2 linked regions of the Alligator mississippiensis genome follow. The protein of the gene in region 1 purifies or fractionates together with the protein of each later gene. This does not show direct contact. Links are inferred from orthologs where the notes say so. Each region holds a gene or a part of one and is shown in the gene's direction. Other genes may lie near its edges.

Evidence for each region.
Region 2: the proteins of LURAP1 (region 1) and CDC42BPB purify together in Homo sapiens (co-immunoprecipitation; 3 studies listed by BioGRID and IntAct, with this or other methods). This does not show direct contact. The link is inferred for Alligator mississippiensis from reciprocal best matches to the Homo sapiens genes LURAP1 and CDC42BPB.

What each region holds. Positions count from the first base shown.
Region 1 is NC_081828.1:3,374,697-3,383,373, forward strand, and holds the start of LURAP1 (leucine rich adaptor protein 1), read left to right. Parts: upstream 1-5,365; 5' UTR 5,366-5,430; coding exon 5,431-5,634; intron 5,635-8,677. UniProt on the Homo sapiens protein: Acts as an activator of the canonical NF-kappa-B pathway and drive the production of pro-inflammatory cytokines. Promotes the antigen (Ag)-presenting and priming function of dendritic cells via the canonical NF-kappa-B pathway.
Region 2 is NC_081825.1:285,808,666-285,816,525, reverse strand, and holds the start of CDC42BPB (serine/threonine-protein kinase MRCK beta), read left to right. Parts: upstream 1-4,235; 5' UTR 4,236-4,362; coding exon 4,363-4,540; intron 4,541-7,860. UniProt on the Homo sapiens protein: Serine/threonine-protein kinase which is an important downstream effector of CDC42 and plays a role in the regulation of cytoskeleton reorganization and cell migration. Regulates actin cytoskeletal reorganization via phosphorylation of PPP1R12C and MYL9/MLC2.

The sequences.
Region 1 (8,677 bases):
TTCTTCCCCGGTTGCATAGGGGCGCAAGGAGAGGAAGTGACAGGGTCAAGGGCACGCAGGGAGTCTGTAGCAGAGGTGGAGGCCGGACCTGAGTCTGGCTCTTAGTGCTGAGGAAACAGGGCTGGAAGTGCCTTCCCGGGTGCCCTGATAGGTCCCAAATCCTCCCACATGGCTGGTGGGTGCATACCGGGGACCCGCTTCGCAGCCGGGCACAGGGGAGATGGGGCCGGTGCCAGTGCAATGATGCGGCCGTGCTCAGAGCATCCCAGCTGCAGAGGGGGCAAAGCCCCACGGCCCATGCCAGTCTGACTGGGGTGGGGTGGGGTGGGGTAGGGGGGGTGGGATTGCTTCCTGCCTCCATGTGCGACATGCTTGTGACCCCGAGCAGAGGATCCAGACCCCCTCTGGAGTATGGGTGGCCAGGCAGGACCCCCCAGATGCCACCAGCTGTTCTGGAAGGTCTTGGCCTGAAGCCTGAGGTTAGCAAACCCCTCCCCAGGGCGTAGCGATGCCTGTGTTTTGCTATGGGGGTGTCCCAGGCTTTGCTGGGCGCCCCCTCCTTGCTGCTCCATGTGTTGGGGGGGGGAGGGTTTAAGCCGTCCCCAGAGGCGCTGGGTGCTGCTGCAGTCAGGGCTGGGCATGGCACGGGGCTGTGCCAATGCTCCTGATGGCACCAAACAGGAGGGTCCTGGCTGGAGGCTCTTGCTCCTCTGCTCAGGGTCAGACTGATGCCAGATTTGGGGTCCGGGAGGCATCTTCCCACCTGGTCAGATACAGTCCAGGGGGGTTTGCCTTCCTCTGTAGCAGGGGCACAGCTTCCACGTGGGCTCTTTTGACTGTCTATTAACCTTTTAGAGAAGCGGGATGTTGGCCGCCGTGGTCCCCCTGCTTGCCCTGCGGCAGGTTTGGGTGTGAGGTCTGGTGCTGTGTGGTGGTTTTGCTAGGAGGTTGTATGATGCGTGTGTCTGGGCTGGTTTGCACAGGGCTGATCCTGCCTCAGGGGTTGGACTGGATGTGACCTCGGCACCCTGCGGCTCTAGGATTTCTATGGGATCAGCTGGGACCCACCCGTATGCAATGGCTGGAAGGATCCCTTTTTCAGCTCACTGGATCCTCAGACCTCTCTGGAGGTATAGAAATGCTCCAGCCAGGCCCTGGGAGAGTCCTGCCCTTGGAGAAGAGGTCTTCGTGCTGCCAGGGGTCGGGGTATTGCCTGCACAGAGGGGCCTCCCTGGGAAGGCGGAGGCAGGCGGGGTGGCCTCAGCCTCCCTGCCTGTCCACTTCGGGGGCAAAGCTGTGCTTCCCACGCCTGGAGCTCGCAGCCAGTCCCAGGAGAGGCTGGACAGGAGCAGAGACTCTTCCTCTGCAGGGGCTGGGGCCTGGGCTTTGCATCCCATGCAAACCAGTTCCTTCAGGAAGGATCAGGACAGGTTGGAAAGAGTCCAGTGCAGACGGACCTGGGGGACGAGAGCGAGGAGGAGCAGCTGGGAGAACTGGGGGACTGAGCCTGCAGAAGAGAAGACTGAGGTGGGATTTGATAACAGTCTTGAAATCCCTGAAGGGCGATGGCAGGGAGGATGGAGATGGGCTTTTCTCTGTGGCTGTTGCGGCAGGACTGGGAGCAACAGTCTCAAGCTGCAGGAGGGGAACTGAGGCTGGAGATGAGGAGGAACTGTCTGGTGCTGAGGGGGGTCAGGCATTGGAAACAGGCACCGAGAGGTGGGGAATCTCCAGCCCGCGAAGTTTTCAAGAGCGGGTTGGACAGACACATGGCTGGGATGGGTTAGGGAAGGGTGCTCCTGCCTTGAGCCGGGGGCTGGACGGGACGTAACCTCCTGAGTCCCCTGCCAGCCCTGCTTTCCTGTGATCCAGTATATACACACATACATACTACACACAATTTATACACGCACACATACTTCTCAGCTTCCTCGGTGCAAAAATGAAATTTATTTCCTACCTATGGGACTTTTTACCATCTTTAACTTTCCCTGAGCCTGAGGAAGGGTGTGCAAGCCCAAAAGCTTGAAGGAAAAAATGATATATTTTGCAATTTCTCGGTTGGTCTAATAAAAGGTATCATCTCTGAGCCAAGAGTTCTAGAGTTGTCATTTCTTTTTTTGTCTCAGACCAACACAGCTACCAAATATATCCCTGACACATACCACACACACACACACACACGTATATACACACATACACATGTATACACGCATGCGTATACCTGCATATAGACACATATATGCGCATATCTATATACACATGTCTATACATGTACACACATATATATCACGGACACGGACATATATACACACATACATACACACACACGTATACAAAGGCTGGTAGAAGTTGGTCCTGACTTCAGAGGGTCTGCTCGGAGCGGCTGCACAGGGCTGGGGGTGCCAGCCCCTCTCATGCCTCCCCCATTCAAGCTGGCCTGCGGGGAGTGCCCACCCTCCGCCCATCTTGCAGGGGATCGGGGGCAGCCTGCCTTCATCCCCTGGGACCCCATCAGTTCCTGGGCTGCTGCCAGCAAGGCCAGGCCCTTTCCCTCTACCCTGCATCACCGCTCCGGGCTGACCCCGTTGCCCCCAGACGGGAGACCCAGGGATGCATGGCCCATAGATTTGGGCGAAGACAGCGTCGCTCCTCCACAAGGGGGCAGTGCGCCACCGCCCCTGGGCTGACTGGGCCCAGCCGGATGTCCCACTTGCAACAGGCTTGGGTTTGGGGTCTTGGCTCGTGGCTGGGGGAAGGGACCAACCTTCTCCTTGCCCCTAGGATGCTGTCCCCTACCACTGCACCATGCTGCAGTCAGCAGGCACTGGCACCTGGATGGAGCAGGCAGAGCGCTCGGCCCTCCTTTGTAGACAGGACATGGGCACTAAGTGACAGGGCCAGGGTCGCACAGGCAAGCAGTGGCAGAGCCCTGCTCTCCCTGGACAACATCCGCTGCCCGGATCTCAGCAGCTCGCACCTGGCCCTTGTGCGAAGGGAACTGCTCCATTGCCTGGTGGCAGCAGTAGGAGGCTGTTAGCCTCTCCTGGAGTGGACCAGGCACAGCCTACGAGCCCCTCAAATCCCCCATCCTCCTTTCCCCCCGCAGTGTCAAGGGCTGCATCTCCTCCCTCCACGCCTGCCTCCCCAGGGGGAGATCAGCAGCCAGCTGGCACGGCTGGAGGTGGGGGTCTCTGCGAGGGGCAGCCAGGCCCTCGGGTCCCGTCATGTCCTCAGTGTGGCCCCGTGAGTCCTGGTGCCTCCTCGCGGGCATCGGGGTCAGGAAAGAGGCCCAGGAGAAGGGACCGGGGACTCGGATGCCTGGGCTGTGGTCCACAGAGGTGTCTCTGACAGCTACTGACTGCCCGCAGGACCTTAGGCATGCCAAACATACCTCTCCTGCCTCAGTTTCTCCAGTCTGTGCAGTGGGGACAGGCCACTTCTGTGTCACCAGGCACTGCCCTACTACACAGAATAACACAGGCCTCTTCCCTTTGCCACTGACCCACTGCATGGCCTTGGGCATGACACTTAAGGTCGCGCTGTCCACAGAGACCAGAGGAGCGATTGGCTTTTCAGAGCAAAGTGCCTGGTGGTTTATAGCTCCATGCCTCAGTCACCCCATCTGTGAAATGGGCAGAGAACGGTGCAAGAGCCCACCTCTGCTGTGCAGCAAGACTGGAAGTGCCCCGCGGTGGTGGCAGGGGGTTCAGCACGTCCTCATGCCTAAGCACACACATATGCACACATGTATGCACTGGTGTGCACACATGCCAGGCCACAACACATGCTGCCCCCATCCTTGCCCAGCTCCTGTCCTTCAGGCCTGCTCGCTCCACAGCAAAACACCTCATGAGCTCCGTGCCTCAGTTTCCCCACCTGAACTGACACTGGAGCCTCAATGCCCCGGAGAGTGTGAGCATCCCCCACATGTGGCCCTGGTACAAAGGTAAGAGTCTACAAGTGCTGCAGGAGCTCTTCCTTCAGCTCATGCGAGAGACGATCCTGTTTTTAGTGTGGGTGAGCCGTTGCGGTGCCTCCGACCCGCTTCTCCGCATGCTCCGGCCGTGCAAATGATTAGGGACTTATGCAAATACTATTATACACGGTCAGGTGTAACCAGGCCATGGAGACCCCACGGAGGTGGAGAAAGGGATGGTCCTGGAAAGCAAGAAATGCCCATCTCTCTCAACTGCGTGAAGGACTCCTGCACGGTTCTTTATCCATTTTTATCCCAGCAGGCCCTGGGGGCTCAAACCCAGATCCAGACCCTGTCTGTGCTAGGTCCTGTACAGACGTGCAACCAGCTCGGTCCCTGCCTCTGAGCACACAGTGATCACCGGGTTCGGTAGACACGGGCACAGGGGACTGAGAAGAACTAACAGTGTCCTTTATGGCGGAGCAGCACTCAACCTCTGCAGACCCTTGGTCTGTCTCTCGTTAATTCACCGAATGGAGGGGCCTTCTCCCAATGCCCGACCTCCGTGGTCTCCTCCATAAGGGAGCGTCTCCAAACGAGCACTTCTCTCGCTGCAGAGGACTGGCAGCCCGATGGACCAGCGGGAGCGGGGCTGGGCAGGCCGTGCCTTACACACGGTGGCGCAGCTGGCTAACGAAGCCTCCAAACGGAAATGGCTAATGAATCACCCTTGGTCGGGAGAAGGCGGGGGTGTCAATTATGGCCCTCGGCCGCGTGCCGGCAGCAGCACTCCTGCTCCCATGGCCTTAGTCCACTGGGCCCTGACACCCCGGGGATCCCCTTGGCACTTGCTCAGCTGTTTCCAGGGTCTCAGCAGGCCTTGCACGGAGGGGGCAGCCCGTCCCTACAAGCCGTGCACGGCAATCGTCCCAAGGCTGTTACTGCACAGAGTGGGGAAACTGAGGCACGGGACAGCTTCGCAGCCCTCAGCCAGCTCCTTCCAGCACTTGCACACCTGCTTCCTTTGCCAGCTGTCAGCGCCGCCGTGCTGTGGGCCTGGCGAAAGCCCCCATCCCAGCCAGGAGACACTCGGGGGGGGGCCGGGGCTGGTCTCTGTGGGACGCCTTCTCTGAAGCGGGGAGCCCGGCTGCGGCGGGGAGAGGGGCAGCAGGTGCAGCTCCGAGTTCAGATGTGGGCATTAAGTCTGGGTTTCTGGGAGCCGCCTGGGCAGGGCGCGGCCCCCCGCAACCACCGGCTCCCGGGCCCTGGCAGCCGCGGGCTCGGCTTCCCCGCAGAGCGGAGACATGCCCGAGGCGGCGCAGGAGGGCGGTGGCAGGGAGAGGGAGCGGCGAGGGGAGGGGAGGGGGCGCCGGGCGCGGGGGAGGGCGCGGGCGAGGGCGCGCGCCGCGTTTGTGCGCGCGCGCCGCTCGGGGGAATACGGCGCGGGCGGCGGGCGCACACGGAGCCTTACGGCGGCGGGGGGCCGCGGGTTCGAGGCCGGCCCGGGCGGGATGGAGCCGGGCGCGGCGCTGCCCGCCGAGCTGCGCGAGCTGGAGGGCAAGGCGGGGCGCGGGACGCCCGCGGGGCTGGCGCGGTGGCTGCGCGGGGACCCGCTGCTGCCGCTGCCCCCGGGGCCGGGGCCGGGGCCGGGGCCGGCCGGGGCGGGGGAGGGCGCGGGGCTGTCCGGCAAGATCGCGGCGCTGCGGCTCGAGCTGGTGAGTGCCCCCCCCGCAAAGCCCCGCTGTTTTGCAATAGACCCTTTTGGGTTGCAATACCCCCCCACCTTTGCAAAGCCCCGCTGTTTTGCAGCACGCCCCCTGCACTAGCCCCCTCCCGCAGCCGCACCTCCCCCAGGGTTGCAGCACCCCTCCCGGGCTCTGCAGAGCCCCGCTGTTCTGCAATAGACCCCCCAGCTCTGCAATAGTAGCCCCCCCCCTCCGCAGTAGCCCCCCCGCAGCAATGTCGCTGCCCACCCTGGCAGCACCCCCAGCTCTACCGTAGCCCCCACAGTAGCCCCCCTCCCCGGCTCTGAGTAGTGACCCCCCCACAAGGATTTGCAGTGCCCCCCCAGGGCAGCCCCCCCCAGCTCTGCAGTAGCTTCATGTAGCAACTGCCCCCGCAATAGCTTCCACAGCCCCGAGCCCTCTCCCCCACCTTTAACACCCCCCCCATCTGCAATAGCCCCCGTGGACAGCAATACCCCTGCCCCAATTCTGCCATCCTGCCCCCCAGGCAGCAACCCCCCCCAGCTCTGCAATATTCCCCCTGGGGCAGAGACCCCCCAGTATTGCAATAGCCCCCCTGCAGGGTAGAGACTCCAGCCTGGCCATAGCCGCCCCTCGGTAGTGACCCCCCCCTCCCCCCCGATCTGCAGTAAATAACCCCCCCAGCTGAGCCATAGCTGCCCCCCAGGCATCACCCCCTCTGTTCTGCCCCCTCCCGCACCCGGCCAGGGCCCAGGCCCCCCAGGCTGTGCTGGGGCACATGGGGGGCTTCGCAGGCTCAGGCTGGAGCTATTCGGTGCCAGGGCAGCTGTGGGGGCCCGTTCATGACCGTCACCTTTGCTGTTCCCTATCCCCTCCGCGGTGCCCAAACCCCCGGGGCTGGCTGGGAGTCCCCTTCCGGCGGCTCCGGTGCCCCACACATCCCGCTCAGTCCGGGCCAGCTGGGCCCGAGGTAACATCGCGAGTCCTGATGATCCGGCAGGAATCGGGCCCCCAGAAATGCAAATCCTTCCTCGTCCCTAATTACACCCATTCTCCACCCACCCGGAAGGAGGCTGCAGAACTGGCCGCTCCTGGGAGCAAGGAGACCCGGGCTTCGTTCCCGGTGCTGCCCCCCACTCACTGGGTGACCTCAAGCCCATCACTTAGCTCATTTGGGCCTCAGTTCGCCTGGCTGTAGCCTGCAGGAGGTGCCAACCCATTTTATAAAGCGTTTAGAGCGCCAAAAGGAGCAGGGTGGCGTTGTTATAGGACAGGAGGTCAAGGAAATGGAAGTGCCTGGGGCTTGATCCTGGCAGGTGCCAGGGATGGGGGTGCAGAGCTGCTTTCTGCTCCATCTCTGGCAGAGCCGCTCGGGGCCAGCTGCACTCCCTGCCCCGCGCTGACCCGGCCTGGGATTATCGGGGAGGGGCCGGCTCCAGCGTCGCCCTGGCCTGCCCCGTGCCTCGACCCTTAGCGCCCTGTGCCTGTCCACGGCTCCACGCCTGTGTGGGAGGGCGCCTGCCATGTTACAATGGTGAGGCGGTGAGCAGAGCCCTGCGGCCGGCTGTGCTGTTCCGCCCCAGAAGCAGCTGCGAGTGGCGGGGGTTGGTCCGTAGCTTGCGATGAAAGCAGCTCCTTGCGGGTAATAATAGCACAGAGGAGTCTAATGAGGACACCCCGATCCCATATCACCCCCCTTCCTTGATCTCCTGCCCTATAACAACGGCACCCTGCTCCTATCGGCGCTCTACACGCTTTATAAAATGGGTTGGTACCTCCTGCAGGCTACAGCCAGGCAAACTGAGGCCCAGATTAGCTAAGTGACGGGCTTGAGGTCACCCAGCAAGTGAGTGGCAGCGCTGGGGATGCAGCCCAGACCTCCTGGATCCCAGGAGCGGCCCATTCTGCAACCTCCTTTCGGGTGGACGCAGGCTGGGTGTAATGAGGGAGGAGGAAGGGTTTGCATTTCTGGGGACCTGATTCATCCCGGATACAACACAGAAGCCTGCTTTCCCAGCGTCTTGTGTGCAGGCCTGTTCTCTCTGAGTGTCGGATAGGCTCTCCCGGGCTGGCCTTTGCAGCAGGAGATGGCTCTGGGGGTCTGAAGCCCGTGCCCCCATGCTATAAAGACCCAGCCGAGGGGGGTGGGGGGGGTCCTCCAGATCCCTGGCATGAGCAGGCACAAATGTAATGAAGAGAGCTCCCTGCATTGGTTTCTGTAGCCACCGATCTGGCACCAGCCTCTTCCTTCCCTTCCCTGCTGGTTTTGCTGCCTGCGACGGAGCCTGTCCTTCTGGCGGGCCGGCCCACGCTCTCCCAGCTGCCGGCCCCCGCAGCCCCCTTCCCTGACGCCCGACTGACGTACACCATGCATGGATACCAGATGCAGCAAAACCCAGCTCCGCGTGCCTCCGACGGGGGCTTTTTTAAAGGGGCATCGGCAAGGAAATTGCTTTCGCATGGTGCTGCTCGCAGCGTTGTGGCTCAGGGGAGCAGGGACGATCTAGGGAGCCACGGCTTTTACCGGCGGGCCGCTTTCCCGGTGGGTTTCTAGGCTGAGGTCTAAACACGGAAGCTGCTTCAGAGGCCGGGGATGCAGTGGGGGTGCTCACGGCACCCCAGGGCGGTGTTGTTAACCCTGCTCCCTAATGTGGAAACTGAGGCACGGAGCAGCTAAGTGATGTGCCCGAGGTCACCCAGGTGGCATGACTGGAGCTGTGGCGGGTCTCTTGTCCGGAGGCTTGAGAATTGGCGGAGGCAGGCCCCGGGCTTGGCTAAGTGCAATGCGGGACGCAGCCCGGCATCCCTGGCTGTTGCACGCTGTGGATCTCACCCCCAGCACCCTGCAGGAAGGCAACCTCGCTCTCCACGCCCCGGCATCCTTCAGCCCTGGGGTCACCTTGGCTCAGGAGGCCCGGAGCGCAGACGGGTGGGCGTGATGGCAGGCTTTGCACGCAATGAATATCGAATCTGGTTCAATAGAGACTAATAGGGGCTGGAAGGGAGCTGCAGAAGTCCAGCCCCTGAGGCAGCATCAGCCCTGTGCAAACCG
Region 2 (7,860 bases), on another chromosome or scaffold:
CATCAAAATTCTATAACAGAATTTCTCTCTCTGCCAGTTACTAAGTTACCTGGAGAACAGCCAGAAAAATAAAATGGAGGCCTAAGTTGGAGTGGATTTAAAAGACCCTGTTCAGTGGCCATCTGGACTTAACATCTTCAGTTTTGCAAATCTAGGACTACACCAGAAAACATATGCCTGTGAACCCTTTTGCTTACACTGGGTCCCAAATGGGAGAGATTTTGTAAGATCAGAGTAGTGTAAAAGAGAGGGGTTGTATTTTTCCACTGAAATATGCAACAGGAAAAAGAACAAGCAAGATGGATCACTGAATTCATCTTAGCCAAATCACTTTTATTTTTAGTACACAGTTGGTCTACGTGAGTAACAGAATCAGACTACCTTAAGCTACAATGTCAAACTTACATTTGCCTGATGTCATTTTTCCACTGGGGGGTTGTTTTTCAAACCTCCGGATCTTAGCATCAAAACCCAGCACTATATTAAAAAATGCAAATGTATCTTTTTCAATCTTTCAACAATGTCTGGAGCAGCCAGCTGATCAGCAGTCCCAATAATGATTCTGCGTGGGCTAGTCTGAGATGTGCAAAACACTTGTATAATTTTCAGTGCTGATCCAATTCCATCTTTTGGTCCATCTTTTTTTTACCTTTGCAAATCTTCACTCACACCAGTATATATCAAGAATTACTGTTGAAACCCAGGGAGATACACAGGTGTAGACCAGTGAGGGCCAGCCTTTTTTGACAGGAGTGCCATGAATTAGCTCTGCACCCTTTCCAAGTGCCATTCTGATCCCCTTTCCCTGCCCGATCTGTTGCTCTACTCTCTACTTTCTGCCCTGTAATCTTTGCCTGATCTCCTGCTCTACTTTCTGCATGATCTACTGCTCTCCTGTCTATCCTCTCTCCTGTCTGTTGTGTGCCACACACAGAGGCCGCCTGTGCCATTTGTGGTATGTGTGCTGAAGGTTGCCCAACCCTAGTGTAAGACAAATCCAAGAGACTGGAGACTTTGGTTATTTCTGCATCCAGTTGCAGTTTCCTGGGTACCCCCTCTATCAAAAAAGGCTATGACTCAGTCACCTATACTGCTGCACAAGAAAGGGGATAACAGATCTTAACAGGTGGTGGGCCTGATTATCCTTCCACAGCTCCTGATATAACCTCCCCAACATCAGTGGAATGACCCAAGCAAAAATGAGGTAAGAATCAGACCCAAAATTTTCATAAGTTCCAGGGTAGATCATTGAGGGAAGCACACAAATTTAGAAAAAGTGCATCCTCCCTCATGTGCAGAATGTGTGCACTTTTACATCTGGTTCAGCAATTACTTGAGCATCTTTCAACCATTGTCCTCCTTGGCCCTTATTCTGAACAATTTTGAAGATATGATGGTAAGCAGAAAATGCAAAACTTTCCTTTCAAATAAAGAAGCAGCCCCAGGAAGTCAGTTGTGCTCATTGTGTTGCTAAGGATGGTACAGACAGATGTGGTATTGGTGTTGATGGGTTGCCAGATGATCTATCTGCAACCAGGAAGGAATTCTAAAAATACCCATATATTCTGTGAGAGGCAAGTCTTTCTTAGGGTGATAAGAAATCATGCAGTTGATCTAATTAAAGATAGCAACCTAAACAATCCTTGACTCTCATATAATTTCTATACCACAATGGCTACAACACCACTCTTAAATTACTGTATGTTCTGAGTAAGATGATATTTTTCCCAAGGGCCTGGGATAGGGATTACAAAGGTACAGCAGTCTTTTAGAGATGATAAGAGTTTTACTTCACAGTAGCCTTTCTGTACAGGTTACAGTACAGGTTTTAGTCTGACATTCAGTTTGACTACCAGGTAGTAAAATACAGCCTGTGGAGATGACAGGTCTGTCATGTCCATCCTTCATCATAGTATGTACCAAGCCCCCATCTTGTTTTGAACCTAGTGCATGAAAACAACAAGCATCAGCCTTTAGTACATCTTGGTCTGAGTAGCCCATGGATGTAACAGAGCAAAGTTGACATGCCAGACTCTCTTTACACAGTCGCAATGTTTGGAACCAAGTAAAGAGAACTTATACCCCAGTGCCACGTCACACCATGACCTGAGCTCTGTGGCTTACAGAGATTCTGTATCCTAGAAGAGACATCATGCCTGAGGAGGACAACCCCCTAGAAACAAGAGCTTCCAATCTTAATACTGGTAATACCTCATTGGACCCCAACAGGCCATAATCCCAGGAGACAACACTTTCTGTCGTACAACACTTCATCTGACCTTAAGCAGCTGTGATCTTGGCCCCTTAATATGGCAACTCCCACCACTGGGTCCTGACTGACTGTAAGCTCTGGATATGACAGTTCAGGGCTTAGTAACATAGTCCTCACAGACAACAGGTGCTGATGTATTACCTGAGTGACTATGGCCCTGGTAATGACAGCCGCCAGTCTGCAAAGCTCCATCTGGCTCTGTTTGGCTGTAGCTTTTAGAGACAAGCATTTCCTGCATGCAAGATTTTGACACAGAGATCTGAAATCAGCTGGCCTTACTGCTCTGCGATGACAGCTTTTATCATGCAATGATCCATCTAGCCCTGACAGTTCACCTGTTATGAAGTCACACCCTCTCACCAGGCAGGTTTGCATTTAGTCTAGAGTGAATTCATGTCTAGACTTTTCATTCCATCCAGGAAGAGCACGCACCAACTGCTGAAACTTCCTTAGCCTGATGAAGGGTTTTTGAACCCGAAAGCTTGCTTAATAAATATTCTCCAACTATTTGGATTAGTCTAATAAAAGATATCAAATTCACCCAAGGAACCTTGTTTGCCCATGTCCTTAGACCAACATGGCTACAACCTAAACCCGTCTAGACTTGTATGTTTCTGAGGAACTGTGCATCTGGTCCCAAGTAACTGTGGTTCGCTGAGATAACAGCTCCTAGCAGGCCATTTTAACAGAATAGAAACAATGCAGCTCAAGCCAGTGCAGTGTTGATACTCTGACTACATTTCACATCTTCCTTCAGTTTGCATAGCAGCCCTAACTTGCTAAGCTTCATTTGTCTCTAAGCAGCCATGGGCCCTGAAGTCCTGCCAAAACGCAGGGGACCGCAGGGGCAAGCGGCTGCAGTCCCTGCAGAAGACAGCTATAGGGTAGGATGTGGGTGGCCCATCCTACCCTACAGTCAATTCCCAAATGGTGCAAAAGTTTCCTTAGGCCCTCCCCCATGGCTGGGCATGAGCACTCCCAGCAGCATGGGTTGGCTGTGGCCCTTGAAGGCAGCAGCTTCTGAAATGCCAGGATGCTCCTAGGCCTGAGTAACCAGGATCGGGCCCAGAGCAGAGCCTCTCCGGGCACTGGGGTAGCCGTAGCAGTGCACCACGCTGCCTCTACCCTGGGTCACACGCGCGCCCAGTAGGTGAGTGAGACCGAAGGCAGCGCAGAGCTGGGATCACATGTGCATCAGGCATCAGCTCGTGGCCTCCCACACGGGCCAAGGGGGCAGCAAGTACCAATGCCCACAGGTCCATGCGAGGCTGCTGGCCCAGCCGGGCCTGGCCTGGGGCTGACATATGCCTTTGGGATGCTTGGACCTGCAGCGAGGGCTGCTTCTGCCAGGCCACATGGGCACGTGCCTGGCAGGCAGGGTTGCCAACTCTGTTTGCATCTATTGCAGGAGGTTGCTGGAACGCCGCTGTGCCCGCGACACACGACGTGGACGTGCCCACGGGCTCACAGATATCAGTTACCGATTACGGTGCATCAGGAAAGCACGTGCACATTGCTATTCCCTTTTAAAACCCCACTGGACTACTGCACAAATCGGATTCAACATTTTAAGAAAAGCCCTGTCATTTATCTCCCGCCAGTCTCCGGGGGATTAATCTCTTAATTCCTGCAGACTCCAAGGCCATCCTGAAGGGTGGACACAACCCTACTGCCAGCTCCCCTGTGCCACCCTCCGGCTTGAAAACGACTCTGCTTCCTTCCCTCTCCCCAAGCAGGGCGCGAATCTGCGGGAAAGAATCGACAGAGCCCCCGCCTGCCTTTAATGTTCCACACACGAATCTGCAGGTGCCGCTCTCCCGGCTAGTTATCTCGCACTACGGCGAGCGGCTCGGCCCAAACTTCCGCGGCTCAGCGCTTTGGTCGCACGTCTGTGCGTGGGCACGCCGGCGCGGGGGGCGTGGCTGCAATCCCGGCCGGGCCGCTCGGTGCCGGAGGCAGAGGCGGCGGCGGCGGCGGAGGAAGAGGAAGAGGAAGGCGCGGTTGCGGCGGCCCACGGAGCAGCGGGGCCCGCAGATGTGGGCGTGAGGGGGAGCAGGTCCGGGCGCGGGTCTGCGCGGCCGCGCGGCGCCATGTCGGCCAAGGTGCGGCTGAAGCGGCTGGAGCAGCTGGTGCTGGACGGGCCGCAGCGGCACGACGCGGCGCTCAGCGTGGAGGCGCTGCTCGACCTGCTGCTCGGCGTGTGCGGGGAGTGCGGCCGCGACGCGCCGATGCGCCGGGACCGCTACGTCTCCGACTTCCTCGAGTGGGGTGAGCCGGGGGCAGGGGGGCCCTTGGCCTGACCCGACCCGACCTGACCTGACCCCCGGCGGGGCTAATCCGGCGCCTGCTGGCACCCCGCGGGGAGGGCGGCTGTCAGCGGGTCCGTGGAGCAGGCCGGAGGGGCGAGGACGGGGTGCGCGGCCAGGGGGAGGTGGCGGCGGCGGCAGCGCCCAGGGCAAAAGAGGTCTCTCGCCGCAGGGAGCGAGCGGCTTGGAGGAAGCCCGTTTGCAAGGCGGAGGCCCCCGGGCGCTGGGGGAAGCACTGGTGGCTGCTGACTGGCGGGCCCAGCACTAGGGAAGGGCGGCTGACGTGCAGCAGGAGAAGTGGTTGCAGGGGAGTGGGCTGCGTACGGGGGCAGCTGTGTTGTGCCGTACGCTTGAAAGATCCCTCTTTTTATTAAGAAAAAGCCCAGACTTGCTTGGGGAGGAGGGTGTAGTGGGGGTGTCGGCTAGAGCAAATGCAGGTTGTGAATGTTTCGGGCCGGCGCACTCAACACGGGACAGCTGGTTCTGCTTCTTTTCTGAGGGGACCTCCACTCTTTGTTAGACCCTAACAAACTAAGAGGATTCACTTCCTGGAGTCTTCTGTTGACGTCAGTAATGCGATTGCCAACTGAATAATTAACTACTTTATCGCATCTGCCTTGCAGGGCTGCGGCCCTGGATGCATCGATTATGTGTTTTGTGACAGCTCGGTGTGCTCTCTGCACGCTGGTCGCTGTCTGTTTTAAAGCCATTACTTGCGATGCACTGAATTTGTATGAGGAGACAAGTGGCTGGATGTAACGGTAGCTAGACCCCGTTGACATGGTTGTCCTGAAGAGAAGAGAATGGTTTGGGGTTAGACAGGTGTCTGGGGGCTGAGATGCTTTCTTTACAGTTCTTGGTGATAATCTCCATATTGTTATCTGTTGTGTGACTGACAGGCAGATTTATTCAGTTACTCATAAAATTGCTTCTCATAGTTTTTATTTATCAAACTCTTTGAATTAAATATGAAAAGGTTGCAGACATGATCAGATGTATGGCAGGAGTATATTTATTGTTAAGCTAGAGTAGTCCTGTAATGCAGAGTAGCTCTTTAATAAATAATGGAAATGTATGCAAGTTGCCCTCTGGTGATACAGGATAGAGGTGCAAGCTTGTACTCCAAAAGGCTGCATGGAAAAGCTGCAGTACTGTATATGTTGCATAAATATAAACTTCCTTTTGGTGCAGTTAAGGTTAATTGTACACGTTTCACAGCTCCTCCAACAATACATGTCCTGAAATGCCAACTCTGGGACACCTTTCACCTGTGCCATAATACCCTTATTATACATTTTCATTGATATGGTTCTTCAGCACCAGGAACATGTTTATGCCTCCAGCTAATAAAAGAACATGGGCTCAACATCTTAATCTTCCTCATTGTGTAATTTGCAAGTTTAATTACAGCCTCAGCGATGTTAAGAGATTATTCAGGATTGATGTGCAGAACTTGATTGAGCACTGTTAAGTGTGTGTAGGATCAGTATGAAGTTGTAGTTAAAATGTGGGCTACACTGTAAATGGATATTGGTGTTTTCTCATGCTGGTTAGAGGGAGAAGGAACTTCCTATGGACAAAATAGAGTCTGTCATAAATCGGTGAACATATAGTATGTGGACATCAAGATACAGTGAGAGGCAGCTTATAATTTCTTTGTTATTTGGTAGATATCTCAATAGTATGCAGAAAAATTAAAAGTAGTTTAGGTGTGGAATTTTGGGGGCTTTTTTTTGATGAAGTTGAAGCATGGTTTGGTCCTGGAGGTGCATGGCGAGGCCCCATGACTTGTCGAGATGGAGGACATGGTTGAGATGTGAGGGATAGCTGTGGATGTGGACAGGCCAGCAGGTCTGTTTCTGTCTTTCTGAAGCCCAGCTTAGTGCAGTGCTGAAGGCAGTGTCATGTATTATATCTACTCTGCCAGGCCAGCCACTGCCTCGCACAGTTGCTGTATCTGACAGACCTTCAGAGCTTCAAAAAGTGGGAGAGCCCCTGGTGCTGGAACCATAAGGCTTCTCTTCCAGGAACCCTGGCCGGTACTTCCTGACAATCAATGCCACAAGGTTCAGGTGAATCTCACCATTTCCCGGTACAGTAGAGTGTGAGGGGTGGCAATTTTTTGGAACATCTTGTGACTTTAGTCCCACTGAACACACGAGCCAAGAGGCTGCCATCTTAACCCAAGACAGTTGGATTTTGTTTTCCCACAGGAAATGGAGCTCTTGGGCATATTGTGTTCCAGTTGAATCATATTCGCCGTTTGGGGAAGAGGAAAAGTTGCATCAAAATATCTTTTAGCCAAGGGAAAACAAGCTGATCTAGAAGCTAGGAGAAGCATTCAGATCTCTTATTTGTCCACGTATTTCTGTTTATAACTCCCATTATCATTCTCATTACCGTAGAAGATAAGCATGTAATAGCCACACCATTTCCCAAATGAAGTAATTGAGAGAGTGCACAGTGTTCTTACTGGGATGAATGTGGTGTGTACTCTGATCACATACATGTGGAAATGGTCTGCCAAATCTTTGTGCTTGGTGTTACAGTCTAAACATTACTTTAACTGCTGTCCAATAGTCTTCCTCTTGAGCCAGTAATAGAAAACTGAGTCCTGACTGGAGGGCCTCTTGTTTTAACACTGTCCCAAAGTCATCAGTAAGACCCAGGAGTTGTGACTCACAGGGTTCTTCTGTCATCTAGTAAATGAGCATAATTTTTTTTTCTGCCACTGTGTTGAGTTCTCCTCCATATAACAAAGAAAATAAAAATTAACTCCCCAAAGTTACTTTAATAATGTAAGTAATATAGATGTCAGAGATGGAGATCTGAAGGTCTTGTGCTGCTGACCTGTGTGCTAGGAATGCTTGGAAGGAAGAGGCTGCTGTAGTAGGAAGGATCCAGCTGGGTTGCCCCAACTGCTCCCCTCAGTTATCACGAGCTGTCCAACTTCTGAGTGGCCAGGGGCCCCCCACTACCTCTGCTGTGTTGCTGGTGGCCATGCGCTGTGCTGTCTAGAAGCCCCCTGGGCTGCCCTGCCCTGCCCTGTCCTGCTTCCACGGTTCATGGTGAGGGCAGGAAATGAAAACTGGCAGAGAGAGGGTGAGCCTTGAGACCACAGTGGCAATACTGGAGAACAATGGGGAAGCAGTGCCCAAATGGGAGCCTGGGAGCAATGAGTTACCCCTCACATGCCACCAGCTGGACATCCCTGACTTGGCATACAGGTTCAGCAGCCTGTCCTCTTTCTCCTTCCGAAAATATCAAGCCTCAGTAGCTTAC